2 linked regions of the Drosophila melanogaster genome follow. The protein of the gene in region 2 purifies or fractionates together with the protein of the main gene of each other region. This does not show direct contact. Each region holds a gene or a part of one and is shown on either strand. Other genes may lie near its edges.

Evidence for each region. The genes of interacting proteins can lie anywhere in the genome.
Region 1: the proteins of yrt (region 2) and Tctp purify together in Drosophila melanogaster (affinity purification with western blotting, with the first as the bait; one study listed by BioGRID). This does not show direct contact.

The regions. Positions count from the first base shown.
Region 1 is NT_033777.3:11,208,711-11,212,310, reverse strand, and holds Tctp (translationally controlled tumor protein), read right to left. Parts: upstream 2,065-3,600; 5' UTR 1,931-2,064; coding exon 1,412-1,930; 3' UTR 413-1,411; downstream 1-412. Other genes in the region: SdhC (succinate dehydrogenase, subunit C), read left to right, coding at 2,512-2,513, 2,571-3,084. UniProt on the Drosophila melanogaster protein: Involved in calcium binding and microtubule stabilization.
Region 2 is NT_033777.3:13,433,210-13,437,171, forward strand, and holds the start of yrt (yurt), read right to left. Parts: upstream 1,776-3,962; 5' UTR 1,064-1,775; coding exon 839-1,063; intron 246-838; coding exon 98-245; intron 33-97; coding exon 1-32.

The sequences.
Region 1 (3,600 bases), 2.2 Mb from region 2:
CCGAACTGAAAGAAGTTTTAATTCCGGTTGGATGGGTACTTATCATTCGTTTTTTGTTGGGTACAAACAAATAACCAATTAACATATTCGATTAGATTAACCTATTTCAATTATTTACAAAAGATTCCCATTGAAAATAATCTGCTATTGAACTGCCCAGTTTACTACTTCTTTACAAAAATATAATTTAATTTGAAAGACCACAAAATAAACCAGAATTGTATAGCTTGTTGTTCTCCTTATTGTTAAAAAGTTTTCTTGGAACAATACTCCATTTCAACAACGCTTCATAAGAATGGAAAGGTACATAAATAGACACATATGTATGTATATTAAAAACCATTAAATTCAACAATGTATGAGAATAGCGAAGAAAAACTTTTAGCTTTTTATCCCGAAAATGGTTCTATTTCAACTAGATTCAAATACTTGAATAAAATATTCTTTACAATTTTAGGAAAATATATTGTGCTTTTCAAAAAAATTGTTTTCGAACATCAGACAATATCGCCGTTCGCCCTAACGAGTGTCCACTGTGCGCATCTCTCACGCGACGAACGGCAACAGGTCGACACGTTTCGCTGAAATGGAAATAGCACCTGGGGCGCAGAGCCCCGCCCTTCAAGCAGATAAAGACGTACGTATTGCTTGACCTGGAATTAGATTATAGAATCCCAAATTCCAGCGAGAGCGGCGCATTTCATTAGCATGGTTGAGGTTAGGGCGAAGCCAACGTGAGAAACTGGGGCAAGTCGAACTGCAACGTGCAGAAAATCGTGTTCCACTGCGCATGACCTCCAAAATGTCCAATGACGGTAACGGTATTGGTGCGGGGCATGTGTACATCACTGTCAAAGGTCAATAACTCCGCGATTGCCCCAAAAAGCAGCAACAACACAAACTAACTGAAGTCTGTGACTCAGACGGTGGTGGCGCCCTCTCGTTCCCACTCACGCCGCCATATGGCGGCGTCTACCTACGCATAACTGCAGATTTGGAAAGAAGTACAGACATGCGGATTCACAGTTGTTTTGTATAGGTGTTCCGTTTAATTTCAGTACTGGTGTTCCCATTTTCGGTCTTCGTTGCTTTTTGATATCTTAGCGAAAATGCATACTAATTTGTAGGTGTTGCTATCAAATTATTATTTTAATTACAATAGGTGGCGCAATTGAATTGTTTAGCTCGCTGTGATTAAACAATAAACATACAATGTCGAATTTATAAGCGCTCCGGTAAAAAGAAATTAGATATAAAATCGCACTGATCGAAGACAGGCATTTTTGTCAGCGTTTTTAAACATAAATTTAAGACTTTCAAAATTGTAACTAAGCATCTGATAAATATGTATATGTGTGTAGAAGGTATGCATGAGTATAGGTTCCGTTTTGTTTGGGGGATTGGGATCCATCTAGCATTTCTCCTCCTCCAGACCGTGCTTGAAGAACATGAGCACGGGCACGCTGTCGCCGTTGATTTCGCGGTATTCCACCAGGGCCACCATGCCGTCGCAGTCCATAGATTCGCCGGTGAAGAACTGCAGCTCCTTGAAGCGGCCAAGGATGTCCTTCATGGCCTTGTTCATGTTGGTCTTGAAGATGTCGACCTGGTCGGGCGACTTCTCCTCCAGCTTGGCCAGCACCTTCTTCATGTAGTCCTTCAGGTAGAGGGTGTACGACTTCTTGTCGCCGAAGGCGAAGCACTCCGTCAGTCGGTGGTTAAGCACAACATCCACGCCAGACTCCGAGGTGATATCAGTGCCCTCGTCGGCCTCCTCGGCGGATGCGTTGGCGCCCTCCAGCTTGATATCGTCACCCTGGCGGGTGATCAGCTTTCCGTACACCTCGTAGATCACATCATCCACCAGCTTCATCTTGTAGGTGTCGGCAAACATCTCGTCGCCGGTGATGATATCCTTGTAGATCTTCATGGTGATTGGCTTGTCGGGAGTCGGAAGATGGCGTCTAAATCGCTGGCGAAAATGCAACTACAACTGCACCGGACCGGGAACACTGCGAAACGACCTGCCACGCGCTCACTCGAACAGCAAAAAGAATGAGCGAGAAAAAATGGCGAAAGAACTGCCAACTCGCTTGGGAGTGGTAACGATTGATCCGGGAGTGGCAGCGCCTACTATACACGTATCGATAATTTCAATGTTTTCTTCGATTTATTGTTAGTTAAGAGCAGGGAATATTAACAAGGCGAACAAAATTATTATAGCTATAATATTGATGTTTCTTACGTATATTTATGGCCATTCTAACTTTTAATAATTTGAGACTGTTTCAGTAAAAAAGATAAATATGTGTAATATTCTCAATTGGAATAATATAAAAGTGGGAACAGAATTAATCATATAAAGTAATAACAATGTTTTACAGTTGATATAAAATCAATACTTTCGAGACTTATTTGTTTTTTACCAACGTAGTGGCATCCCTGTTTGCGGTAATATCGCGCAGTCAGTGTACGGTCCCATCAATACAAGTTCGAGTGAAAAACAGGGAAATGTACGTAATTTCTGTGATGGCACTGCAAAAACCCTGATTTGTGACTGCTTTTTGCAGGTATGCACTCTCCAGTTCTTTGATCCGCTCTCCGGCGCTGCGCCAGGGCCTCCAGATGGCCGCTGCCAGCCGCCCGGTATCGATGAAGGTGGTTTCCGTGGCCGAAACCCAGAAGGACGAGTCGTTCTTCGAGAAGAACGAGCGCTTGGGCAGGGAGCTGTCGCCCCATCTGACCATCTACCAACCGCAGCTGACCTCCATGCTCTCGATCTGTCACCGCGGCACAGGATTGGCCCTGGGTGTGGGTGTTTGGGGTCTGGGATTGGGCGCTCTGATCTCGTCCCACGACATTAGCCACTATGTGACCATGGTGGAGGGCCTCCAGCTGAGTGGCGCCACTCTGACCGCCCTCAAGTTTATCATCGCCTATCCGGCTGGCTATCACACCGCCAATGGTATTAGGCATCTCCTCTGGGACACCGGACGGTTCCTGAAGATCAAGGAGGTTTACTCCACCGGTTACGCAATGGTCGCCACCTCTTTCGTGCTATCCGCTATCTTGGCCCTGCTCTAAGTCCAAGACCCCAGCTAAACCTATTACATTTTAGTGCGAACACTGTGTGAAAATTGTTATATACTAAATACATGTAGTGTGTATATTTATAAAGGTGTTTGTTGTGTTACGCAATCCATTTTGTTGCTTTGGGCGTGCTGCATACGTTTGTTGTGCGCTGCAATTTGCACGGTGTGCGTGTTTTTAACGATTTCGGTGATTTGTAGAGTGAATTCAGTGTGGAGGCCGGTTAAATAGACATCTTGCGGTCCATTGACAGCGAAATCAAGTATACGCCCCGAACAAGCGATTTCCGATAGCAGAATATTACTTACATGCGCCCAAAAGTAGGGAATACTTTTTATAGGCTTAAATTTACATGAAAAATTAAAACCAAATGCAAAAGGGCTCCGAAAATGTATTTATTTAAGAGTAGCTCTTTGGCTTCCCTAACTATAGAAAAGTCTTCTAAAGATCCTTTTACTTCGGAACTGAAGAATCTTTTTATTAGATGGGGGATTCAGTTCATGTACAGAA
Region 2 (3,962 bases):
CACCTTCAGCCGGAACGTGTAGGGCGGCCCAACTGCGGGAAAGGTAAAATAATTAGTATTGTTTGGCCCACGTAATTGGTTTCACACATTAACTCACTTTTGACCTGCTTCTTGATGGGCTTGGTGGGATCTAGCCAGTGCTTGACGTGATTGGCATCCATGAACTGCAGCCCAAAGTAATCCTTCTCGATGATGTCCAGTGCGTAGAATACCTGTTCGTACAAAAAGCTGCCCAATGCCTTTTTCTGCAATCGCAAACAGCAAAGTGGAAAATTAATGCTTCCGACGGGGGGCAGGTGTAAATCAATGCGACCCTGAACTAATCACGTTCGCTTAGCGGGTTAAATTATGTGCTGATCAGCAGCAATTTGCTTATTTTTATCACACGGACTGAGGCAATGCAAGCTGCGGTAGTGTCTTCATTAGGGTGGACCAATAAATGAAATGGTTAAAACGTTTGCTACACAATTGTTTTGGGCTGTTTTGAGAATTCAATACTTCTCTTAGCAGAGTGCATTTAATGGACAATAAATACCCTGACTTACTTCTTAATATAAATAATATTTCTGAGCTCAAATTTAAAATTCGTATAAAGGATAGAGCTAAAGATGATTCGTAAAATTTAAGACATTATTTATTTAGTACGTAATACTGAGCCGCCCTACCAACCACTTTAGCTCTATCTTTATCTCTACCTTGACGGTATTCTCTTATAAGATCCAATCGCTTGTTTGTTTGCCTTCCGAAAATTACTGCCAACGGCAGCAGTTTAAAGGGTGAAAGCCAAAAAATCGAAAATGGGCCAAATGTAATTCGATGTGGGCCCTCCTGTACTCACCGATAATTCGATGGAAAGGTCAGTGTTGTCCAGCAGAATGACGCGGCAGTCGATTTTGTTCTTGTTGACCACGATGCGTTGTGGCTTTATTTGTGAGCTGCCGCCGGAGGTGATGGCACCACCACCCCCAGCCACGCCCACCGCGGAACTAGTTGCCCCGCCGCCCTCTCTCGAATTATCCACATAGTTGTTGCGCACCTTGCGACGGCTTAGAAAACGGAGCATTTTTCTGGATTTTGTTTGGTTTTAAACGTGTGTATGTATGTATTATATATTGCGGGTGGTCGTTATTGTTGTTTTCTATGTGTTGTTTTTATGGAATTGTTGCCAAGGCAGCCGAATGCACCGATAATTCACCTGTGTGCTCACCTCGGCTGGGGAAAAAAGACAGCGCAGACATCAAAAAACCCCTCACACGCACACACGCGCAGCCAACTTGTTCTGGCCAACACACACGTACACTGACTAACCAACACACTTGCAAGCGATAGACGCCCCCGTTTTACTTAAGTTTTCCTTTTAGTTTTTTGTTTTTTTCTTCACTTTTGGTTCGGGGAGCTGAGCTAAAGTTGCTGGCCAAAGTGGGCGCTCCTTTCGGGCGGTTTCTTTACTACGGGTTTTGGCTCGTCGCACCCCCTCCCCCGCGAAAAAATCACTGTTAGCCTGGTTTTTGGTTGGCGAAAAAGAGGAGAGAGAAAAAACAGGCCAGCCAAACACGTTAGTTCCCGCTTCGCGAGGCGACTTTCCGGGTATTCAATCACTTGTTTTCACACTTTATTTTGTTGGCGGTGCTGCATCGTCCGGTCACTATTATGTTTTGTTATTATTTTGGGCTATTTAAGTGCACTTTCGGAATTTTTTTAGGAGTAGAATGTAAGAATGGCCGCAGTAGTTGTTGATCTTATGCGAGCAGTGTGACCAGATGTGGTCACGACAAATATACCAAGTACACAACAAATTGTACATGTCGGTTTTCGGTATTTCTGTGTGACCGTCGAATTCAAATCAGGTGCAGAGCCACGATATTCGTTGAGCTAAGACACGAACCTCCCCGCTTGGCTAGAAAACAGCTAATTCGTCCATTTCAATTTTACTTTCTTAATTTTCCACTTGGTTTTTCATGTAACCTGTATTTTGATAGAAAATATTATAAAAGATCTTACAACAAATGATAATTTCCAAAAATTAAACAAATGGAAGTAAAGATTGATTTCAACAAATTTTCTATACGTTGTGCAGAAAATTCTAATTAATTAAATTTATCCAAACTCATCAAGTATTTTGCTACAGTGTGATTCTTTCAATTCAAAATTGTTCAACGTTATATTTATTAGCTAATACACATGGGATAATTAAATAAATCAGAAGAAGAAAGCACGAATATAAATCGAAATTATGTAGACACAGTAAAAAACAATTCCAGCCATATTTTGCATCAAAAGAGAAGCTACAGACTTGATCATAATATTTTGACTTTTGCCTGTGGACAAGAATCGCACAAAACTTGTTGGCATTTGCGGTCGCGCAATTCTTTAAGTTTAGTACAAGCAACTAAACTAGAAAGAAGTGCACAATAACTGTAAAATAGGAAACACAAGTGGGTTCCGTAGTTGCAGCCGGCATTTGCAAAATCCTTTTTATGGGCAATTTATTCCTTTATTTGTTAGTGGATTTAAGGACGTAACAGTGTCCACTCCCGCACATCCCAACTTCCCTAACTTCCCCAACTTCCGCACCCATTTTCCTCCGATTCACCCTCGATCCCCATTGGTAGTCGTATTTCGAGTTTAAAGGTAAATGGGAGATTTATCGCCGGCGATTTCCGGTCTACATATATGTGTGTGTGTGTGTGCGAGTGTGTGTGTGTAGAGTTGGCGGTGGGTGGGTGTTTTAACATCTTGGCTGCGGGCCCTGTTTATATCGGGGTTTTAGTGGGCCCTCGAGAGGTTCGGCTTTTGGGCCGAGGGCTTTACAACATTTTGCGAGAACTTGAAGCCATTGGGCGCCAATTGCATGATTCATTTTCGCTTATTGGCCATTAATTCTCAATTCGCCCGATTGAGGACGATATATGTAGGTACATATATGTATGTATGCGCATTTACATTTTTATCGAACGCATTAGATATCCATATATGCTGTAATTACACAATTGGCCGTTATAACAAGGCGGATGATTAATTACTGACTAATACCTGAAACCCGATCTGTGGTCGGGCATCGATGGAATCGGAATCGCCCAGCAGCCCCGTATCGCCCATCCATCCATCCATTCATCCATCTATTTAATAACTAGGCAGGCGACGATGCAGGTCTTTAGCCATGGCCAATGTCTTAGGTGCCAGCTGCGGCAACTTGAGCAGCCAGTTCCGTAATTATGACAGGCGGCCAAAGGCCCCGGACCCCCGGCTTCAGTTCTCTGTCCATGGCATCCAGATCCCAGATCCCATATGCCAGATCCCCAGATTCAGGTCCCGTCCCGGCTCGATTTTCTCGGCCGCAGGGGTGTGGCAACAATTAACAAATGGCTTGCGTTGCCATTGCCATTGACCAAAATAGACATGTTTGCAAAGGGTTACATTCATATGTACATATACGCAGCCAAAACGCACAATGCACTCGAACAAATATATCCGAAGGTGCCAACAAATTTTCAAAAACAATTAAATAGGTATTATTAAAATGTTAAGAGTAATCCTAAGAATTAGTATAGTTATAACTGATAAATTCTCCTTAATGTTCAAGAAAATATATATTCTTTTTGTAGATATATCATAAATAAACGAAGTGTTAAATGAAATAATTCGATAAATTGAAAATACTCAAACGGACCTGTTGAAAAGAACAATAATGGGAAAATTGTAGTTTAAATGTCCATATGCTAATTATCTTCTGTTTACTATTAATTTCTTTAAAGTAGATTTATAAATTACGCTCAATAACAGTGTCGTTAGAAGTCTTACCCATTTGGTTCAATAAATTCAGGAAGTGAGTTGTTGCCCGAATTTAGGCCACTTATTTCTCCCTGTACCAAATGTGGCCTTTTGTATTGTCTTAACGATAATGGCAAGTCGTGGGTATGTAATACGAGGTGGGCAAATATTTGCGTCCGTTTGAGTGAGTG